2 linked regions of the Astyanax mexicanus genome follow. The main gene of each other region encodes a partner of the protein of the gene in region 2 in a complex. Links are inferred from orthologs where the notes say so. Each region holds a gene or a part of one and is shown on either strand. Other genes may lie near its edges.

Evidence for each region.
Region 1: the proteins of tsen34 (region 2) and tsen15 are in contact, whole or in part, in a crystal structure (PDB 6Z9U), measured with the Homo sapiens proteins. The link is inferred for Astyanax mexicanus from reciprocal best matches to the Homo sapiens genes TSEN34 and TSEN15. Residues at the interface, in NP_001070914.1 of Homo sapiens: Pro251, Leu252, Arg253, Phe254, His255, Ala256, His257, Tyr258, Pro265, Glu266, Asp267, Thr268, Ile269, Pro270, Leu271, Gln272, Leu274, Ser283, Val284, Arg285, Lys286, Thr287, Leu289, Leu290, Cys291, Ser292, Gln294, Val300, Tyr301, Thr302; in NP_443197.1 of Homo sapiens: Leu70, Lys74, Trp76, Thr108, Pro109, Ile110, Thr111, Ala112, Ser113, Leu114, Ser115, His116, Asn117, Ile119, Arg120, Leu123, Leu141, Ile143, Val151, Tyr152, Tyr153, Lys154, Leu155, Thr156, Asp157, Gly158, Phe159, Met160, Leu161, Pro162.

Annotation. Positions count from the first base shown.
Region 1 is NC_064415.1:56,945,594-56,957,721, forward strand, and holds tsen15 (tRNA-splicing endonuclease subunit Sen15), read right to left. Parts: upstream 5,085-12,128; 5' UTR 4,693-5,084; coding exon 4,639-4,692; intron 3,981-4,638; coding exon 3,899-3,980; intron 3,800-3,898; coding exon 3,664-3,799; intron 3,272-3,663; coding exon 3,103-3,271; 3' UTR 1,735-3,102; downstream 1-1,734. Other genes in the region: acbd5b (acyl-CoA-binding domain-containing protein 5-B), read right to left, coding at 7,232-7,244, 7,348-7,457, 8,242-8,292, 8,681-8,874, 9,829-10,000, 10,669-10,727, 11,299-11,484, 11,995-12,102. UniProt on the Homo sapiens protein: Non-catalytic subunit of the tRNA-splicing endonuclease complex, a complex responsible for identification and cleavage of the splice sites in pre-tRNA. It cleaves pre-tRNA at the 5' and 3' splice sites to release the intron.
Region 2 is NC_064416.1:31,994,373-32,006,463, reverse strand, and holds tsen34 (tRNA-splicing endonuclease subunit Sen34), read right to left. Parts: upstream 5,222-12,091; 5' UTR 4,905-5,221; coding exon 4,566-4,904; intron 2,960-4,565; coding exon 2,824-2,959; intron 1,777-2,823; coding exon 1,495-1,776; intron 1,018-1,494; coding exon 821-1,017; 3' UTR 648-820; downstream 1-647. Other genes in the region: trypsin-3-like, read left to right, coding at 7,048-7,791. UniProt on the Homo sapiens protein: Constitutes one of the two catalytic subunit of the tRNA-splicing endonuclease complex, a complex responsible for identification and cleavage of the splice sites in pre-tRNA. It cleaves pre-tRNA at the 5'- and 3'-splice sites to release the intron.

The sequences.
Region 1 (12,128 bases), on a different chromosome or scaffold from region 2:
TGATTTATTATTAGGTTTTCATGCTGGATAGCTAACCGGCTGCCTCTTTGGATGAGCCAACAGTGCTAGCTGCTAGCTGCTTTAGATAGCTAACAATTAGCTAACAATAACCCAGGGTGAGGCTTTTTGTTCAACCCATTTGTGGCTTGCTGGGTCTGCAGGGCTTGGAAAAACATCTAACAGTAATTTTTTACCTCCTGATACCTAAAAAAAAGAACACAGTCCTCATACGGGGGACATTAGTTTTGTTTTTTTTTGTACATTTAAAAATGATTCTTGACATTTGGGATCAGAATGACTCAATTAGTCCAAAAACAGAATGTTAGCTTTCTACAGTAAGTGAATAAATTAGTTTTAAACACAAAATTAACTATTTCTATCTGGACTGGCTGTAGAAACTTTTGACTGTGATTCACAACATCTTTCAACAATTTCCAATCAAATGACATTAATGTTGTCATGTGACCAATAGATGATATAGGCAGTGTCTCAAAATGAGGCCAATGATATTTAACATTTTACAAAAATTAGGATTATAGTGCAAAGTAGCGGAAATATAATATAAATATCCTTATATTCCCATATAAGGATGCAGGGTCTCAAGAGGTTAAAATAAATTAGTAAAATATATATATATATATATATTGACTTTAAGGTCCTTCTGCTGAACACAATTTCTGTCGGTTAACTTGCAAACCAGTCTTTAATCTGATTTAATAATAATAAAAAAAAACTGACTTTTAGGCTAAAAAGAAACGCACCCACATGCCCCTATTCCGTGCAGCTATTTATTCATGTCTTTTAGTTTAGCCCAACCTAGAGCCTGGCTGATTTTTTAAAGCTGATAAATGAATGGGGCTTATTTGCTAGATGATGTTACGCCAAAATTACTCAAAATAACAAATTAAATGGGGAGTTTTTCAGACAAGGATTGAGCCTAGTCTTGGACTAAACTAAAGCATTTTGAATGGAGATGTTCCAGCATAAGGAAAATATAAGCTGTGTTCAGAATTTACTCCTCATCGAAGAAGTAGTGCACTATTCCCTATATAGTTCACTACCAAACACCCATAATGCATCACAAAATGTAGTGTATAGATGATGTACACTAGAATTTCCAGTGTATACCATAATGCAGTGAAAGTGGTGTTATATTAGATGTTCTCAAAGCTGCACAAACAAAGATTTTAAGAAAGTTTGTTGTTAGGTTGATCCAGTGTCAGTTCACTATATAGCAAATGTGATCTACAGCTCTGAAAAATGAGAGCACCTAAAAATTAAGAGTGTCTTTGATTTTAGCAAATTAAAAAACTCTGGAATATAATGAAGAGGAAGATGCACCAGGAGTAAAGCAGCATAAAGTTATCCAAAAGCAGTGTGTAAGACTGGTGGAGGAGAACATAATGCCAAGATTCATGAAAAAAACTGAGATTAAAAACCAGGGATATTCCACCGAATATTGATTTCTGAACTCTTAAAACTTTCTCGTAATTTTTCCAAAGCTGTATATGAATCGTAAAGTAGTTAACGAGTGAGCCAATCCAAACACTGAAGCTTTAGTCTACAACATGGCTCAATCCTTGTCTGATCAAACTTCCCCAAAATCATGTTCCACAGATTTCCATTTAAATGAAAGAACATGGATAGTTAAACTTTAAGAGATTTAAAGTTTTTTAATACTTCAGTCAGGCTCTAGGCAAAGTACCAGTACCACAAAAGAAAACAATGACTGGACAAGAGAATCTGCTTTACTTTATTTGCTTTCCTTTTATGAATTCATACATATGTGTATGATACAAGTGCCCAATACTGTCTGTTCAAAACTATTGCCAAAATGAAGAAATATTCAATATCAAAGAGTTTTGCGTATTCCTTCCACTCTGCGCTGATCTCACTGGGTAATCACTGACAAAGGCCTTTATTCACCAACTGTATTTAAGAAGAAAAATCTTTTTTTTTTCCCACTTGCAGTTTTTTTGCAAAGATTTAAATTTTCTTAATCGGGATTTGTTTAATTTATGAGGACAAAAGTGATCCATCACTATAAGAGCATTTATTAATTTAATCAGTAATCTGATTAAAATTTGTCTTGGGAAGATATTGATGAATGGAGCCTTATGTCTTTTATATATGATATATACTAGTGCATCTAAAAAATTAAGACTATCATTGAAAAGTTTATATTTACTTTATTTTAGCAATTCAGTTCAAAATGTGAAACGTAATTTGAAATATTATATAGATGTATTACACAAAGAGTAATCAATTTTGGTTTAAAAAGACATGTCATCTGCTGGTGTTGATCCACTGTGTTATATCAAGTTCAAAATCAGAGCTGACAACTTTTATGAAGATGCAGATTTCATTTTCCAGCAGGATTTGGCACACTGCCCACACTGCTAAAAGTACCAATTGGTCTAATAGAATATTCTACTTTTCTAAAACACTGATTTTTGGGGTTTTCATTGGTTCTAAGCCATAATCATCAACAATAAAATAAACAAACAATTATAACGCTATATGAGTTTCACATTTTGAACTGAATTACTGAAACAAAGTAACTTTTCAATTATATTTAATTTTTTTGAGATGCACTAGTGTATATATAATTTATTGTTTATTTTGAGTCCAAAATGTAGGACTGTCCAAAGGAAATGTCTGTCAAATGTTATCCCATTACACAGGCTATAGCACGCCCAGTTCACCTAACCTAGGAGGACACACACAAAGAAACACTAAACTCCTTCAGAGACTAGAGTGAGGATTGTATTTACAACCACAAGCCACTGAAGGTACCTGTGCCACACCCCATCTGGATAGGAGCCATTAATATTATGAAAAATAATAAAGGTCAAAGAGAACTGCACACTTCTTAACCGTGCAAGCACTTTTGATCTTTTTTATAATACTGTCATTACAGAAAGGTGAGTATATTCTGACCCCATCATGCAGCCTTATTGCCCACCAATGAAAAGCTGCCTTCAAATACAGCCATCAGATAAATTATAAAAAGCTAAATCTGAGACAGTGGGCTGAACACTGCCCCTCAACTTCAGTCAGAATCTTCCACAATGTTATGTCCATTACATGGTCATGTAATGGTCATGTTTGGAGTCTTCTCTTGCGGTGCTGTCTCCGGCCCTGGTCCTGAATGTCCACCGGAGGGTCCGGGGTTAGCAGGCCGTCACACAGCCGCTGGTACACCAGGGTGGAGTCTGAGGCCACTGCACACAACAGCATTGGGCTTCCTCGGTCCAGGATACACCTCAAACTGAGAACAGATTTAATCAAAATGTGCCACATACAATATATAGAGTCATACATGGTGTAGGCAGAGAAATGCCTTGATAATAATGTCTGCTCACATGAAAAAAATAGATACAGACAAACAAACTCTGGATAGGAAACCAGAATCCCTGGAAAGCGAATCGGTTCTGATACATCAGCTCACAGACGCAGCATTGTGCTAATCCACATCACCCTCAGCGTGATTAGAGGAGAGAGCGCCATCTACTGTTCCCACCCAGAGCAAGACCAACTGTGCTCTCTCAGGGCTCCAGCAGCTGATGGCCGTAAGCTGCATGACCAAGATTCAACCCAGCAATCTCTTGCTTTAGACCCTTGAAAAGTATTACAGTAGTGACGCAAACCTTGTCCACTTACTCTTTGTGGCTGACGGTTCTGTGTGAGGGAAGTGGATAAACCACCTGTACCGGTTCACCTTCCTTCTCACGGCCTTCCAGCAGAACCGCCTGCAGCTCAGAGCTCGCGACTCCCACCACGTCCTTCCAGCGACGAACTGCAACAGAGTTCAGCCATGACAAGACATCCTGATTAACATCCAACATGCACTGAACATATCGTCACAGTACTGGAGAACACTAGAGTTTTCTCTTACCTTCTGTTAAGTCCAGATAAACCAGGAATGCTGCATAGACCTGAGCGCTGTCACCAACATCCAGATTCATCAGGTCTTGGTACTAAAGAGAATAAGCACATTTTAGACCATAGATACTCAAATCATGTCATTGAATAAAGACTCAAAGATGTTTTTGGAGGTCCTACAATTTAATCAGTGTAATGTAAACTGCATGAAAAAAAAAATGTCATTTAGAACATTTATTTGCAGAAAATGAGAAATGGCTGAAATAATGCAAAGGAAACAAGTTCATATTTATAAAGGTTAAGAGTTCAGAAATCAATATTTGGTGGAATAACCCTGTTTTTTAATCACAGTTTTCATATTTTCATGCATCTTGGCATCGTGTTCTCCTCCACCAGTCTTACACACTGCTTTTGGATAACTTTATGCTGCTTTACTCCTGGTGCAAAAATTCAAGCAGTTCAGTTTGGTGGTTTGATGGCTTGTGAGCATCCATCTTCCTCTTGATTATATTCCAGAGGTTTTCAATTTGATAAAATCAAAAAACTCATAATTTTGTTGCTGATCCAAAAAACAAAGATTTATAAAGAAAAATCATGAAAATTATCAGGGGTGCCCAAACCTTTTTATACTACTGTATATTGGTTGGAATGAAGAACAGGCAGCTTAAAGTAACTAAACGTCTCTAAAAATACAGAAACAATATAATATAGCTAGAAAAGATACTTAACTAGGTTAAAAACACCGAAACTCACTGCTGGGTGCTGTTTAATCCAGCTCGAATCAGCCGCTCTGCTTTCTTCCTCCATGCTCCCATTCAGAACGAGGGCGCGTCCCAAATCGCGTACCTGCGTTTAAGTAGACTAACTACTGTTGTGTATTAATTACCGAACCGGTAATTAATACATAAAGCTGAATATCTAAACGATAAACTAAAGTTATCTAGCTACTTGAAAGCAGACTGGAGTGCACCCGGTAACGCCAACATGTAACACTTGCCACTTCGCCACTGGAAAACACGGGCTTCTAAAATGTTAAGTGCGCACTATCTAGACTCTTTAAACCACATATGGAACGCGCCCCAACGTGCTGTTGTTGCGCTTCTCCCAAACCCTACCGGAAAAAAAAACACGCTGTTGAACAAGAGGTTCCGCATTAAAGGAAATCAATCGCTCAAACAATGTATATTAATCCGTGTATCATTCGTTCATTTGATATTCAATTGAGAATCAAAATCGGAAAATTAAAAAACCAATTCGTTTTTTCGTTTTTTCGTTTTTGAATATAATACCAAAAAACGAATAACGGCTTGTATTTTGTATTTTTATTTGGTTATCCAAACAAAAATTGGAAATTTAAAAAACGGACCAGGAGCCGAATTTGATTTTGATTTTGAACTTGACCCATTTGTGTGCCCCGGAAGTTACTGATTTGTTTATTCTTGGTGGGTTTCTGTTGCGCGGGAGTTCACTGCAGTGTTATCTACACAGTCTGTATTGCTGTAGGCAGCATGGCCGGACTGGAACCACATTCTGGCCTAATTAAAGATCTTTTTGAAGGTGGTAAGACGCATGAAGAGATTTCGTGCACGTTGCAGCAAATGGGGATCCAGCGATGTTCTGCAATGAGTGTTAGAAGGTTCTGTGTTCAACACGACCTTAAGCGAAAAAGACATGTATCGAACACAGAATTGGAGAGGGCCGTTGAGGATGGAGAGTTTTATCTTGTTCAGAGGAACTAAACGCGTTGCAGTGAAAGAAGACGATATGACAACAGAAAAAATCGGCAGGATCTTTCAGGTGTTTGTCTAACGTTCCGTAGCTAAATGTCATATTTAGTAGGCGGCAATTCACAGAATAACATTAACTAAATATGACATTTAGCTACGGAACGTTAGACAAACACCTGAAAGATCCTGCCGATTTTTTCTGTTGTCATATCGTCTTCTTTCACTGCAACGCGTTTAGTTCCTATGAACAAGATAAAACTCTCCATCCTCAACTCAATCCAAAGCCTACAGCAATACAGACTGTGTAGATAACACTGCAGTGAACTCCCGCGCAACAGAAACCCACCAAGAATAAACAAATCAGTAACTTCCGGGGCACACAAATGGGTCAAGTTCAAAATCAAAATCAAATTCGGCTCCTGGTCCGTTTTTTAAATTTCCAATTTTTGTTTGGATAACCAAATAAAAATACAAAATACAAGCCGTTATTCGTTTTTTGGTATTATATTCAAAAACGAAAAAACGAAAAAACGAATTGGTTTTTTAATTTTCCGATTTTGATTCTCAATTGAATATCAAATGAACGAATGATACACGGATTTATATTGGTATGTACTAATTACTTTATTTCAGTAATTCAGTTCAAAATGTGAAACTCAAATATTATATAGATGTATTACACACAGATTGATCTATTTTAAGCGTTTATTTCTTTTATTCAGTATTTTTAAATCAGTATTTCAGAAAATTAGAATATTATATAAGACCAACTGGTACTTTTGGCAGTGTGGGCAGTGTGCCAAATCCTGCTGGAAAATGAAATCCGCAAGCTGAGCCTCTCCACTCTTCCTCCTGACTCTGGTTTAAAATTTACTGATGGTCTGTGATGGTTTGGAGAGACATGTCAACAATGTTTTCCTTAACAGGTCAAAAATGTAGAAAAAAAAAACAATGCAAGGTGTGAAGTTTAATTGCACCAAATATTTATTTCATTACCAAAAAAAAAACCTCACAAATATTTATTCAGGATAAAGTAATTTTACTGCAACATAAATAAAGTGCTTAGAAATAAATTTAGATATATTTCTAACTATGCAGATTTTAAACACAATATATCATCTGCACTTAATAATACATAACATAAATAAACATATTAATAAATGTACAAAGAATAAACTTTACTGCTTATAATAAAATATTATAAGATTCTTATCTGGGCAGTGAGTGTTTATTTATAATAGAATATAATACAATTAATCCATATATACATTTGTTTTATAATATATATAACATATATAACATCTCCAAAACTCAACTCATGAGTGTATTCGCTGTGGTTATCCTCCACTCACTAAACCAACACTTGGTTTAATAAATCAGTGTTTTAGGGTTTATCAGTATACAGGTGATGGAACTGAACCAAGCTTTGTTCTTTAAACGAACTCTAGTTCTTAGCCACTTTATTAAAATGAGAATTATTGTTATTTTTAACTTATTTATGCTAATCTGTATATGTATCTTTAATACATTTTTACACTGTAATATTATAAATACTGTAGAAAGAGGCTGATTGTCACTGAGGGCTCCACCTGAATTCGGATACGTTCACAGCATCGTCTTCATTTTATCCTCCTGAAAACCAGAAATACAGCCTGGGTGAGCAGAACATCACTGAACCTCAAACACAAAATAAGAGCTTTAATCACTGCTGATTAAATACTGATGAAATACTGACCTCCTCTTCCTCTGAAGATAAATCTGCACCAGCCAGTTCACAGCAAAAGGCCAGATAAGAGCCAGAGCTACAGTTACAGGAGACGTGTCCTGAGGCCACCAGGGAAATCGCTGGCAAATTACGCAGATTAAAGAGAAAAGATTATATAATTAATTTAAAATATAGTTTCTAAGAATCTAAGAATTGATGTGTTATATTTACCTAAACTTCAAACATCTATCTATCAAACTTCTAAACCTAAACAAACCTCTACTCTACAAACACCAAGAATAAAACATCTACATCTTAAACACAAATACATTTAATGTCCAATTTCCCAACATATAAACCTCAGACAACTAACTGGAAAACATCTAAAATTTCGACATGTTGTAAACAGAGTGGTGTGGCTGTGAGCAGTGAACGCTGCACAGACTGCGCTCTTAGTGTGTAAACAGTATGGAGCAGCAGAGACAGTGTTTGTTCATAGCAGTATGTTATCTGGCTAATATATCAGATTAAACTGCACCTTATCAGCAGTTTAGCTCAATTAAAAAGAAGTGTATTTGATAGCTGTGTTGGCTGGGGCAGATTACAGCGAAATTGGGGTTAAACTTGGTGGTATGATTAATTGCATAACAAAAATGAAAACGTGTTTCTGATTCTTTAGTGATTCTTTTACTGATTCATTGTTTAACGTTGACAGCCCTAATAAATATATAAACCTTACATATCTAAACTTCAAAAACTTTTAAATGTTAAATACATTTATAACTTTAATTATCTAACTTACAAACATACAGTTTAGAACCAACTAAAACAAACCAATTAAACATCTTTATGATTCTCTTTAGTGATTTTATTAATATAATTAAATGTACTATTGTATATTTGACAGCTGTATTGTAAGCCTACCTTTTTTACTGAAGCTGAATGAGGGTCTTGTTCAGGAGGAAAAGCTTCATCCTGAGAAGAAAATACAGTACAGCAGGTTAACCTGAATTTCTTTTGGTTAAAAATTAAACATCGAAATCACACTGTGAAAAATCTGAAGAATTGGTTTGATGCCTCTGTAACAAAAATATAGATTGTGATAATATCTGATGGCAAGAAATATCAACTTTATGACCAGATCTTATAATGTATAGATATACTGTAGTTTTCTATCGTTTTAATTTTCCAAATATTGGTCTTGAACACTGAGAAAATAGTATGAAATAGTAATATTAGTCTTTATCATTTTTTAAGTGTAAAATGAAATAAAGACTAGTAGAATGTAACACTATTATAAAAACCACATAAACATGAATATTAAAGATTATTGATCTAAAGATGCAAAGCTTTTCTGACTCACCTGAGCTGCAGTCAGAGCTTCTAGTGTGTTCAGTCTCTGCAGCACGTTCTGCATGTCATCCTGTAGCCGTGATAATGCTGAGGTGATCTGTGTGTTCACACGGTGTTTGGTTTTCTCTACACACTGCGGGACTTCATGACCTTTCAGTGTTTTCCCAACAGCATCTACGATTTGAGATCCACCTAAATGATGTTCTGAAACAATCGCAAATCATGAACTTCATTTTATGAGCTATAAATTGCAACGTCCACAACCTGGACGTGTTCCGGAAGCAGCAAAGATCAAATAAAATGATACCGGAGTCATTTAGACTGATATGAGCTGTAATTATTGAGTAACACAAGTGGTAGTATTGTGTAATGCACATGTAGTTCATGTGTAATGCAACATAATACCCATTAGTGTCCTGCGATAATCCATCACATGTATCTGAAAATGTGCTATCAACATGGTCAACACTATGATCGGGAGATTGCTGATTCGAATCCCGGTCATGCAGCTTGCCATCAGCTGCCAGAGCCCTGAGAGAGCACAGTTGGTCTTGTTCTCTCTGGGTGGGTACAGTACAGTAGATGGCGCTCTCTTTTTCCCCTCATCACTCCTAGGGTGATGTGGATCAGCACAAGGCTGCATCTGTGAGCTGATGTATCAGAACCAAGTTGCTACAGAGTCTGACTTTACATGTGTCAGGGGAGGCATGCGCTGGTCTTCACCCTTCTTGTGTTGTGGCATCATAAGTGACTAGCAGCTGAATGGTTGGGACAATCGGACTAGCTTAATTTGGGAGAAAATTAGAAATAAATTTGAATAAAACTCTATAATACTAATGGATTATAGCAGGACACCATAAGGAACCTCTACAGCCCTGAATTATGCCCATACCAATCTAAATTTGTAATTATTTATTGTTCTTAGCAACCTTCATCTTTCTTCCTAATAGCATTAATATCTAATATCTGACACATTCTACTGGTTGCAACTATTTTTTGATGATAAGTGTACTATAATATACTAAAATACTAATATTACTATATTTTAAGGCTGTTATACTGTAATATAGCACATGTTCAATTAGAATATTAAACAGTAATGTGTATTAAAGCATATATAAGTGTGTCTACAGCATGTAAATGTTACCAACAACGCACCATCCCTTCCTCTGTCCACTGAGTCTCTCTCAGACTGGACTGGCCCAGCTGCCACAGGGATGGGGAGGAGGGTCTCCTGCCGTTTTGCATCCTGGCTTCCTCTGGGATCCTCCAGTCTTCTGGCTCCAAATGCCTCGGGCCCTGCCAACCGGCCCCTGGAAACCCTTAAACCCTGCAGGAACCAAATAAACCATCACACACACTCATAAACAACCAGAAACCCATTTTTAAATCATGTTATGACATCATTCAGGTGAGTCCTGAGCTAAATAGGTACCAATTATATTCTCACTCACATGGATATCATTTGATACAAATCACTACATGTACAAATGTTTGTGGAAACTAAATTTAGATGCATCTAATGCTGACACAGATTGTGGGATTCTGGTCCCTTGATTTACTTTAAATGAAATGTAAAATTTACTGATGATCAGTGATGGTTTGGAGAGTCATGTCTGTCATCTGCTGGTGTTGATCCACTGTGTTTTATTATCAAGTCTGTGCAGTTTTGTTTTCCCACAAAATCTTACAGCTTCCCTCTGCTGATAACAACTTTTATGGAGATGCGGATTTCATTTTCCAGCAGGACTTAGGCACCAATAAGTACCAATTAGTCTTATATAATATTCTTATTTTCTGAGACACTGTTTTTAGGTTTTTACTGGCTGTAAGTCATAATCATCAACAATAAAAGAAATAAACGCTTGCTTGTTAGCTACACTGGACTCATAGCTCTAGTTTAACATATAAGAAGGAACGTTTACACACCAAATACGCCTTGATTTAATAACTATATTTGGATTAGGGATTTGCTTAAAAACTGAAGGATGGTAGTACCTCTTGAGGTGTTGCACATTCCACTGAGTCACTGCTAACTTCACACTCAGGGACTTCATCTGGAAGGGAAAACAACATTAGCAGCTGTAGTCTGTGTTGATTTGTAAAGTAAATTAATTATGTTTTTAAATGTGTGTATTTATTTAAAAAAAATGAAAATTGGTCACAGTATAATTTCAATGTGTGTTAGGAAAGTTAGCCTAGCATCTCTAGTTCTAAACTGTTCTAAAAAAAGATTTTTTTTTTTTACCCAAACTAAACATTTAAAATGTCCATTTAAAAACATTTAAAAGTCCACAATGTTTCCAGTACAAACTGTTAAAAGAGACAGAAAATTATCAAATGTTATAAAATCACAATTGCAAAACTCTGCAGAAGGCTTTTAATTTGAAATGAGGAATACAGAAAGCGCGACAAGAGGGAGAGAGAAATAAAGCAGACATGGAGAAGAGAGAAAAATGGATTAAATATGGATTAAACTATTGTTACCTATTGTAAAATTAGATTTTTAGATTTGCAATGTAACTTAAATCTCGTCACAAGCTTCAACGCTTCAGTGCTTTAGCGCATGCACGTGTTTTATGACTACAGTATCACTACCACAGTGAATCCTCTATTTCAGGTGAGTACCGCTGATGTAGTCGGTGCAGGGATAAACATCCTGAGGGTCCTGGCTTGAGTTCTCTGTGCTGCAGGCTAGCTCCTCCTCTTCCTGCTCTGTGTTCAGGGAGCTGTGTGTGTCGTTGGTCAGAGAGGAAACCTCTGCACTTCCGTTACACAGCGCCGGCGGTACTCTCTCGTCCTTCCCTACTCCACCTAGGAACATATTAGCAACAGTATATCAGTAAGGCACCTAACTCTATAGCAACAGCCTAGCAACAACCTTATACCATACCATACCATATCAAACATCTAGGAACATGTTATCAACCTTATAGCACTACAGCAGGAACCTGGAAATATTGGAACCTAGGAACCTTGTAGCAACGTTATTGTAGCAGCTGCATAGAAACAACCTAGCTACAACCTTAGGTACCACAGCAAACATCTAGGAACATTGTAGCAACACTATAGCAGCTGCATGGCAACAACCTAGCAGCCACCTGGATACCACAGCAAACATCTAGGAACATTTAGCATTAAAGCAGGAACCTAGCAACAACCTAGAAACACTGCATCAACATTAAAGCAGCTGCATAGCAACAACCTAGCAACCAAACAGTTTCTTCCTGGTAACCATGTTTTCTTGTTATTTATACAATAGTAATAACTCAACACACTCAGGGCTTAAAGGGCCAACACAAAGGCATAGTTTTTTTTTTTTACCTTCACTGCTGTCCTCCAGCTCCACTCCATCCTCTTCATCTTCATCTTCCAAAGAACTGGCCCAACCTGCATTGTTCTCTGGTTCTTCATCCCAACTCATCCCTGCTTCTAAAGTCACCAACACACACCAGCAC
Region 2 (12,091 bases):
ACACCTTTTCATTCAATGTTTTATGATTTTTTGTTACATTGTAGATTAATATTAATGATATTAAAGCTATACAGAAACATATGTAGAATTATGTAGTCAACAAAAAGTGTTAAACAAAACATGTTTTTACTTTAGATTCTAAGGAGCTACATTTAGCTTTGAGGACAGATCTGCACACTCTTAATATTTTAATCTCAGTGCCTTCATGAGAGAGAGTCACATGGAATATAGGTTTCTCAGCATCTTGAAGGAGTTTCTGGAGGTGCTGAACAATAGTTGCTGCTTTTCCTTCACGCTGTAAAGCTCCAGCTCATCCCAAATCACCATCTCAGTTGATCAGGTTTAGGTCAGGAGTTTTAATTTATTTGTGGACTGACCAATCAGCACTGACAATGTGCTCTTAGATACAGTGTGTGAGCATAATCAGAGCTCTGCCACTATAAGAACATCTGGAGTGGGAAAGTTTCTCTACAAATAACTATGTTACACCCTTTCACAATTAATGACTTTATTTACATTAATATTTTAATTCTGCATTAATAATGAAAATTGTAAAGTTAAAATTTGTTTTTGTTTTTTTTAATGTGAGGGCTACTCTACACTGTGATGGAAGCTTGCCCACGTTACAAACAAATAAAGACCAAAAATACAAAAAAATAATGTTTTATTTATTGTTATAGTTAACAAACCTGCAAAAGGCACTCCCCCCACACTGACTGAGTTCCATATCACAAGCTAATAGATCCTCTGGTCTGATTTTTTTTTCTTTTTATGTTTTATTAGTTCATGAACAGCTGAGTGTCTGAAAAAACTTTAGACACTAAACCATTCCACTCCACTGCAGAGATGAATACACAACCTCCCCCTCCACTCCACTGTCCCGTGGGGAGCACAGCAGCACTGTTTTCTTCACATTAGAACCGAGCCGAGCCACAGCCAGAACATCACACAGTGGCAACTGTTCAACCATCGACAGGCACAGAGCAATGAAGTGCGCATGGAAACGCAGTGGATCACCTGCAGGAAAAAAGCAAAACAATCAGTCTATGTTACAAAACAAATGTATTTCTATGTGTATACATAAAAAGTATCTATTTCAATATGCCAACATAGTTATAAAATGGACAAATATATTTTTCACTGTATATTTGACTGAATATATCAGATTTTTTAATATGGGGTCCTTCTTTATAGTTAGTATGCGACTTGCGTCCATTTTGCTTGGGGCCCCACAAATGCCTTGAATGTAAAAAAAAAAACCTTGGTTACGAACAGCAGTGGGTGATCATGATGGTGATCACCAGCATCTGGCTAAAATTGTCCATGTGAACAGACAAGTGACTCTGAAAGAAATCATATCTGCATTCAGTGCAGCAGACCCCGCCCACGTATCCCACAGCTCAGTGCAGAGGTATTTAGCTTTTGTAAAACAGCTACTGTCCCAAAAGTTTTGTCATGTCACTATAATAAGTCTACTAAATCTACTGAACTCACCTGGATACACTAGATAATCTCCACCAAACTTCCCTGCTGCTGTGAGGTAGAAGCCCCTCCCCCTCAGATCTCTATACACTCTGAACCTTGTCTCAGACCGCTCATCTCTGGGCATTGGCCAATCAGCAGCCAGGAAAGCAGCTTCTTCGGGACAGTGACCGAAGCCAGCACGGGCGGTGCAGAGCTGCACTGCCATGGCGGAGCGTGGTAACGTGAAGCCTTTCTGCAGGGAGCTGAGCCGCTCTCTCATTGCCTGCTCTGTGCCCTCGTCACATGTGTGATCTGTGCAAAAAGACACAATAAAAAATCATTATATTTAGAAACTGTCTGCCTGTACAAAAAAAAACAAAATGATGCTTCAGCTACTGTATTCAATTAAATTATTTATCTTAATCCTTTATAACAGTAGCACTGTGATTAACCCTTTCAGAACTGAATTATGTCCCAGTGATGGAGTGATAAATAAAAATAAAAAATAAAGGAATGCTGCTTTCTGTCTATAATGCTTGTAATTTTAATTTGATATTGACCTAATGTGTTCTAAATCACATATAAATAGTAACAATAAGCTCCTATTTTGCCTCACTGGCTCAAGTGCAGCCATGCCCTAATTTCTGAGTTGGTCTTATTTTCCAGTGCAATGGTGGGGCTAAGCTACTGTTTCATTGGCTGGTTTATGATATGATGATATGGACCATTCATATATGATGTCAATTGTAATGGATGCAGGGTCTAATAGGGTTAAAGAGTTGTAATTAGATGTTTAAATCTAGATTTGTATAATTAAATCTAATAAGTATCTATAAATGTGTGTGTAACCAATCACATTGATTTTGGAACAAAATTTTAAAAATCAGCTTTTCAGCAAGAGGGAAAAAGAGGGTCTGCATGAAGCTGGACTCTCTGGTGACGGTGGCAGAGAAGATTGGATTAGGTGTAGACTAAATAGCGATACAAAGTCATAATAAGCCCTAACTCTAACACTAACAGGTGAAGTGAAAAACACAGATTTTCTTAATCTACAAGATCATCTTTCAAGTGGTGGATATATTAGGCAGCGAGTGAACAGTCAGTTCTTGAATGTCATGTGTTGAACAAAAAAAAAAAATTAACAAGAGAAAGAATCTGAGACACTTTGACAGGCACAAACTGTGATGCTCTAGTCGACTGGGTCAGAACATCTCCAAAACGTCAGGCAGTTCCTGGGGCATATGCCCAGTGCAGAGCTGTTGCCATTTTCAAATGATGATAAATGGAGACAAAAGGTCTTGTTCTGAAAGCTCTAAAATACCTAATGCTCAGTCCTGGCTGTAACTGACTTTTACTCACCGTTCTGTTTTGCATTCATTACTCTCTGCAGAACCGCCTTCTTGTCCTCGAGGGCGAGAACACACTGCTCCTCATAACTGTGCTCCAGTCTGGACTGGTATGCCTCAACAGCCTTCACATGGCTTTCTTCATCTTCCTATAGAAAAAAATGGTAAACAGAACAGAATCCACCACCATCTTGCTTTGACCAAAGTATGTATGCAGTAAGTAGTTTTTTTTTTTTTTTAATAATATGCCACAGGTATAGATGCAGGTACAGTTTACATTATCTCTACAGCATGACAATAAGCCTACACATGGTTAGCCATTTCTTGGCGAGGAGCCTTTATAATATACAAGCTTTTGACAAGTGTGCATTTCCCAACAGTGCTTGTATAAATTACAAAAAAAACAAATATCAATTTTACCCTTAAACAATATTTTAGCCTCTTTGTGCCATTAAACAAAAAACACTCACAAAAATAAACATGAGAGGGTATTCTATGGTTGCAAACAATAAGTAGCCATTTTACTCCAGTAAACACTCTAGAACAACTGCTTGACAAGTCAATGTTAGAGAAGTACTATCAGTACTCCCAGTGTGTATAAGAGTGGTATAAACTCCCCAGGAACTGATTTCCTGATTGTCAAACAATCAGGAAATCACTTAAATAGAACCTGTCTGACAACATGAAGCAAAATATAAGATCTTAAAAGCAACACATCATATGTATTTCTGAAGAAATTCACTCACATCTGTCCATCTGTAAAAGGTTTAAAAATACATTCTAAAGCATTGGGACTGTAGTGAACCACAGTGAGAGCTATTTTTCACAAACGCAGATACAATGGAACACTGGTGAACCTTCCCAGGAGTGACCAGCCTACCAAAATTACTCTAAAAGGGTATGGACAACTAATCCTGGAGGTCACAAAATAACCAATGACAACATCTAAAGAATGGCAGGCCACATCTGCCTCAGTTAAGGACAGTGTTAATGATTCAATAATAAAAAAAAGAGACTGGACGAAAATGGTTTTCATTAGATTCTAGGCAGGTTTCAAGACAAAAAACACTGCTGACCAAGAAAAACACAACAGGCCATCTCACATTTGGCAGCAAACATCCTGATGATCTTTTTGGAAGATGTGTGGCCCATTACAACTTGCGTAAATCAAAAAATAATAATTTCAGAAAAAGAGCATCATACTGAACGTAAAACATGGTGGTGGTAGTGTGAAGTTCTGGGGCTACTCTGCTGCTTCTGGGCCTGAACAACTTGTTCACAGCTTTAATAGATGGAACAAGGAATTCTGCTGTTTACCAGAAAATTCTGAGGGAGAATGTCTGGCCATCAGTTCATGACTTTCAGCTCAGGTGCACCTCGGTTCTGCAGCAGGACAATGATCCAAACAAAACCCTTTGAACAAAACAATTCTGTAAAGAAGAGTGGGACAAACTTGCAGTTGTTGCCAAGGGTGGTACAACCAGGTTATTAGGTTTAAGGGGCAAACACTTTATAGGGTTAGATTGGTTTGGATAGACTTTTTTCCCTAATAAATAAAACGATAATTTAAAAAGTGTGTTTTATATTTACTAAGGTTATATTTGTCTGATATTAAAATGTGTTTTTAATCTTTGCTTTAAAAAGCAAAAACAATAGGAATCTGAGGGTGCCAAATACAAAAAGATGAAAATAAACCCAGTGATTTCTCCAATTCTTATATAACCAATAAAATAAAGACAGTTAACACTAGATAACCTGGTTGTGTGTGTGTTGTACAGCAGCCCTGCCTCTCTCCAGCAGCAGACTGGCTTCCTCCTGCAGGATCTCCAGCGGTCTCCCCAGCCGCACATTCTGCCTCGGCTGCCTGGCCAGCGAGCCCACCAGCGCCCCGACCACCCCGTCCTCCTCCCGGACTCTCCGGATGTCGCCTGCTCTCCACAGTAGAGGAGTGCCCCCGACCAGGCTGATGTTCACACGGGGTTCCCTGCTCCTCTCCCGGTCTCCCTCACTCTCAGCCCCCGCTGCTTCACCGCCCTCCCCGGCTCCTCCGTTCTGTCGAGTGCCGTGATCTTCAGCCGGCCTCTCACAGTCCATCTCAGAACCAGAACTAAGCCTAGAACATGTTTAACCATTAAACACAAGTTCTGTTAGAGAACGCTGAAGCTGGGCTGAGGATGAACCACATGGCCACACACTGCAGTTTCAGTCTGTCTGTGTTTAATATATTTAATACCTATATTACGGGTATTTTCTGTACTGTAGATTAAAACACAGATAAAAACAAAAAAGTAAATATAAAATAGATACTAATCTATGCAATCTAGATTTATTCACAGTTTAACAAAACTTCTTTTTCTCCTAAACAGCAGGACTTTTATCTGTTGATCACGCTGCTCTACAGGTCCGACTTCCTGTTTTCACTGTTTACGTTCGTGACGCGAAACACCACGTGGCCTACGTCTGTCATTATAACCAATGGGCTTTAAGCAAAGGTCTTTATTTAACATAACGTTACGTTTAGTTTTTTTTTTTTATGCAGAAATAAATTACACTACCGATCAAAAATAAAAATAAAAAAGTTTTAGAACACTCACTGTTTCATTTTGTAAAAAAAAAACTGAATATAGTAAAAATAAAAAAATTAACAGGTTTGGAGTCTTTTTAAAATAAGTTACTGGTTAAGAGTTATAGCTGGTCTGTAGGAATATAAGTAAACTAAGCTTTGGAAATTGATGAAAAAAATGAGAATTTCCAAGCCACTGCACAGCACTTTCATCATAATAACTAAAAAAGAAACACAGATAACTCTGTAACTATTAAAACCATAAGTCAGTTCTTTCAACAAGTTACCACTGCCATTGTGTTTACGTGCATCTCCGTGGAAACACGCACCCAAAGTGTAAATATGGTGTGTAGCAGTGGACAAATAGCTATTTTATTAAACGTGAGGAGACGAAACTCAAAAAAATAAAATTACCAGAGGACGACAGAGTTCAGCAAAAAACAGTAGGTAATTCAGGCATGTAATTTTCTGAGACGTCTGAGAAAAACGAGTACATGGTCGTTCTGGACGGGAATAAAATCACAGAGGGCCCCCCATAAAAGAGAAAATTAACCCAGGACCCCCTGAGAAACTAATCCCATCCGGATAGAAACTGGAGAAAACTGGTACACGGCCAGACTGACCCACGTACCAACACCTTTAGCTTAGTTTAACGGTGGACTAAGTCTTTGTTTCAGCAGTGAAGAAAATAATTAGATGTCTAACAGGTGAAGTGCAATAATAAAGACATGGCTAAAGTCATTTCTTTTATTAAAAATATAGAAATAAAGCAGAACAAGTGGGTAGTAGAAAAATAGTTTATATATTTGTATAGTTATATTATATTGTTTCATTTCAATATATCCCTAATATATATACTTTAATTCTAAAACTTTTGCACAATCTCTTTTTAGTGTTTACTGACTTACAGTTTTGAGAAGCTTTTGGCCTGAAATATTTTATATCCTTTGTGGAGGTTCTTGCAGGGTGTTCAAAAAAGTGAAAATAGTCTAGGAAGGAATCTTTTTTGTTTTCCAATTTACTACTGTTTTACCATCATCAGCATTAAATGTAAAACTTAAAAGACACAATTAAGTTGACTGCTGGTAAAATGTTTGTGGTCCTGTGTTTGTTGCCCCTAAAATGAACTGACACCCTGTCCAAGAGGCATAGCCGTCTTGAACCCACTAATAAACTTTTAACCCATCTCAGTTCTACAGTATCTGTTGCAGACACTGGGATCCATGGCTCATATTATCACGTCTGTAAATAAATCATATATTCATATAGGTATTCCAATCCATGCCATATGTTTGACAAAATGCATCAGTAAATGGTGAAAGTACTTGCAATGTTGATCACATTATTGTCTAAAGCTGCAGTAAAAAATGTGTGTATGTTGCATTTTATTATATAACATATCTATATTATCCAAACTTCATTTAAACTTCATATTCGTATGATCATACTCAGAAAGTGCCGAGTATTCAGTCCTGCTCTATGCATGATACCATATCTATAGCCATATGTCATTTCACACACTGGTTACTTGTTAATGCGTACATGGTACTTGTACGTGTGCAACATATGCACCACCTGTCCTTGAGCATGGTCAGCAAATCTGCTGTTCTCTAGGTATATAAGCAAGGCCTGAGGGCGTCCAAATACAGCGAGACGTTCCTGTCCAGCACAACCATGAAGGCTCTCATTCTCCTGGCCCTGTGCGCCGTGGCGTACGCCGCCCCCCTGGATGGTGACGATGACAAGATCGTCGGTGGCTACGAGTGCCAGAAGAACGGTGTGGCCTACCAGGTCTCCCTGAACGCCGGCTACCACTTCTGCGGCGGCTCCCTCATCAGCAGCCAGTGGGTGGTGTCTGCCGCCCATTGCTACAAGTCTCGCATCCAGGTGCGCCTGGGAGAGCACAACATCAACGTCAACGAGGGCACCGAGCAGTTCCTCAACTCCGCTGTGGTGGTCAAGCACCCTCGCTACAACGGCAACAACCTGGACAACGACATCATGCTCATCAAGCTCAGCCAACCCGCCAACCTCAACAGCTACGTCAAGACCGTGTCCCTGCCCAGCAGCTGCGCCGCCGCCGGCACCCGCTGCCTCATCTCCGGCTGGGGCAACACCAGCAGCAGTGGCAGCAACTACCCCGACCGCCTGAGGTGCCTGGATGCCCCCATCCTGAGTGACAGTTCCTGCAGAAACTCCTACCCCGGTCAGATCACCTCCAACATGTTCTGCGCCGGATTCCTCGAGGGCGGAAAGGACTCCTGCCAGGGCGACTCCGGTGGACCCGTGGTCTGCAACGGACAGCTGCAGGGCGTCGTCTCCTGGGGTTACGGATGTGCCCAGAGGAACAAGCCCGGCGTCTACACCAAAGTCTGCAACTACAACACCTGGATCAGGGACACCATGAAGTCCTATTAAATTATCATTCCTGAGGTCTCAATAAAATTCCATTAGAAAATATTCAACTCCTCTGTGATTTCTTTCAACAATTCAACAACTGGCATCTAAACTGCATTTGCATCAACTTTAGAAAAAAAAAACAGTTAAAAACAACTAAAAAGCTAAAGTGCCCTCTAGAGTGGCAGTAAAGTGCTCATCTAGCAAAAAAATTATAATTAAGTTTCTACTTGATCAAAAATAATACAATTTGAGTCAGATTAGAGAAAATTGAAGTCAAAAATGAATATTCACATTTTTGCTTTGAAACCAGCTAATATACTTACAGAAGTGTAACTTTACACTGTGTTTTTAACACATTCAGACGCAAACTGATAATACATCAGGTAGAAGATTATTTAAATCCTACAGTTTCAGTGTTGGTCTGAAAGTGTTTGGACATCATCAAATGTCTCAAAATTGTTCACATTCATAAACTCAAGTAAAAGAATAGATACTAAGGTTTAAAATACATAAAATTCATATACAATAAATTAGAAACAACTTAAGAACGAGTTCGCAAGCAGCAGCAGTTTTAGACATAAATGATATTTTATTTCAGTTGAGAATATAAAAAGAAACATTGAAAAAAATAAACAAATCGGAATATATTAACTCAATGACGTACATTTCCTCATGATCTGGATAAAATATACAGTAAGGTATGTATTTCATCTTTATTAAGTCTTTAGCATAAAATTCTTCAGATATGAATAAAACTCTTGATCCATATATCTAAAATCACAATAATTTATAATTGTGCGTGTGTTTTGTTTGCCATAAGAGCAATTTTTTTAATCTGGGAAATTATGCATAAGTATCAAAAATGTGCGCGGAAAATGTGTGCGTTAATGGGAACAGAATTACACACACAACTTTGGCCCTTGATTACTGTTACTATAAACAATTAACTGTTTTTGTAAAGACTGGGAGGGGGGGGGGGCTTATTGAAAAGTGCATGTGTAGATCAGCTGACTGCATCTTTAAGAGCAACAAGGCTTATTAATTAACAATGGATAGCCAAATGTAGGATTGCTGCGTGCCATTTAAAAGCGGACGTCGAAGTTCCAATTATGACTCCATTCTCCATGTTGTTAAGTATGTAAAAGTCTGTGTAAAGCACTGTTATTAACTGGTATTGTTCATATTATTACCATAATATTGCATTTTAAAAATGCTTTAAAATTTTGTAAAATTATCTGAATGAACTGGAACATCATTAACTCAGCTGTGAGATCATTCCCAGCTCCAATATCTGACTTCTAGAGTAAATGAAAGGCTGTAGCTTTCACAAGGACTTTTCAAATAAGATTTCCCACCATTCCAATAAAACCATTGCTAATCCAGAGGCAGTCGACCCACTGTGTATGTCAGGACTCCCACAGCTAACAGTAAAAGTGGACGAGGACATCCAGTCTACACCAGCAGAGACTCTGTTTTCAGTGAAGACTTTCATTGGTGCCCCTTTACTGACTGTGTAGTCCTAACATATACCTAGAGAGAGAAACAAAATAGTCACCAATTAATGTCAAACAAGAGAAAATCAGCAATCATCACTTTGAAACTATGTATTTACCAAATATTTGGCAACAAAAAATTGTTAAACTGAAAAAGTTAACATTTTTGATAATTAGAACACAAGTAAAAGCTTAAAAAAGGTTTAACAAACAATAACATATTTAATAATGTAATCAGATTGCACCCACATTGGGTGTTAAATGTCTAAAGTTAAAACTAATATTTTTTTAAATGCCTAAATGTCCTTTTTTTTTTTTTTAACAAATTACATTTGTGCAATGATGAAAATCATGACAAAACTGATAAAAACCTGATCAATATTCTGCCAATAATGGCATTTCAGTGCTATCACTTTTTAAAACCAATACATGTTTAAAATGTATCGAGCTATAACCCTAATGGCTGGAAAATAAAAGGCATGATTGTGTCAAAATGAAGTCTGTCAGACCAGTAAAAGCATTTTAAAATTGTAAATGCAGAGGTATGGACAGAGGTATAGGAACACCTGCTCATTCACTGTTTCTTTCCCAAGAAAGACCTTTAACAAGAATCAATTGCAAAATATAAACAGAGGCCTGAAAATGTAAACAAATGTAAAATGTAAAAAAAAAAAAAAAAAAAAAAAAAAAAAAAATTAATCCGATTTTATAACCCTAACTGCATAACCCTTTTAGAATATTTGATTTTCCAAATTACATTACATAACATTTTGCAGGAGCGTTTATCCAGAGCGACTTACAATTAATGATGTACATTTAGCAATAGAGGACATAGATCTTTAAGGCAAAAACATTTTAAAGGAGGCCAAGGGAAATAGTGGGAGACAGGAGGAAAGGTTTGTTAGGGGTGTTAGGAGTTAAGAAATAACTGGTTAATCATGTTTACCACAATGTTTTGAATATTCTATTATCAGCAGGTTTCTCTATTGTTACCTACAGGAAAAGGAAGAGCTCTGATTCCCCAACAGTCTTGACTTAGGCTCGTTGAAGGGGCAGGGTGTCCATGTGTGCATTCAGCTTCATCTCATTCTCCAGGATCTGGACCAGCTGCTGCATGGAGGGAAGGTGGCCAGACTCTAGCTTGGACCAAACAGGCACATCTGTGGACAGACACACACATACACAAACACAGCACAAGGTTAGTCTGGCAAAGCCTCTGGAAAAAGTCTTGACTGTTCTGCACAATACAACATTGAAACGGAAAAATCCTCACTGATTTATAATAAAATAATAATACATTTAAAATAAACTTACCATTCAGTGATATTTCAAAGGCACCAGTGGACATACACTGGTTTTCAATCATGTTGCTGAGGAAAAACACCATCATACAAGCATATATCTGAAAAAAAAAAGGAAAACAAATCCAAATAGTTCACTTCAGCTCATGTGCATCATAAGGGTAGCTGCAGGCATGGAGAAATTAAATGCAAGTCTTTATGGGTAGTTTTTCCACACAAATTATTAAGCACAGTCTCAGACTGTACAGCATTTTGAATAGAGAATTCTTGTTGAAAGGAAAACACAGTCTACGACTAGGCATAATCCGTGTTTGGGAAATCAACTCTGTAAGACATTCCAATACCCCTTTCAAATTTACAGAGTTTAAAGTAAGATTAAGTAAGCATTCAGCATTATGTATAAAAATAATAATAAATCAAATCATCAAAATAATGCATCAAATCATCAAATACATCAAGGGCCCTCAGCCCTTTACACTCCTATCTATCTCAAGATTACCAAGAGAGACAGAGGCTGATGCAAGTCTCCCAGCAGACATCGTTAACAACCTCCCAGTAGGGCCTATGGTGTGGGTTACACTTATAAACAGAATCCCAGTGCGCTGCAGGTAACTGACGAGGGACTGAACAGATGACGCACTAGCACTATACTTTTTTTAAACGCATCTATTCGGTAGTTCCATCCATGATCTCTGAATCACAGAAATCACAGAGAGAGCCTCACAGAGTGGTACTGAGAAAACATGTAAACCTTTTAAGAATTACAAACAGCTTGCACCACACTTGTATTGGGTAATCCACGTTCTTTACTGGTTTTATGGTTACACCAATTTCTTTTCCCTAGCTGGATTTCTTGTTTTCTATAGTGTAGAGACGCTTAATCTGTCTCTATCCACCTCAAAAATATTTATAACAAATCATACTATTGTCTGTTTATCATTTTAATACACGTAAATAGACTAATCACTAATGAAAATGACTAATTGTTCCTTCTTAAAATAAGTAGAGGGGTTACAAATGTTATATCCTTACCTTATTCTCCTGACCCCAAGCCCAGAGTCCAGGGGTCTCCACACCAAAGAGCACAAACGGGTCTTTTCCCACAACAATGAGACCAATCACTGCAAGCTTAAATATGGACAGGAAGGAAGCAAAGTGTCTGCAAACAGAGAATTTACACAAGCTTTAGAAATACGTAAACGTGTGATCAGAAAAAATAATTCATTGTTTATTGACCTGTTAATTGAAAGAAAAGCTGTATATGTACCTGTACATGGGCTGAGGCAGGTAGTTCTCCCCTTCGATGCGGATGTCTGGGTACCTCTGGGCAAGAACCCGAGTGTACTCCTCAAACACCCGCTTGTATCCTCAGGATATGCTAAACACAAAGAAATGGCATCACTAGATACACTTTAGATTGTGGTCTGCCACTACTGACGCATTTTGTTTGCAAGTCAAAATAAAAAAAATATGCGACAGGTATTGCATTGTTCTTAAATATATTATGATAATATTTCTACCATT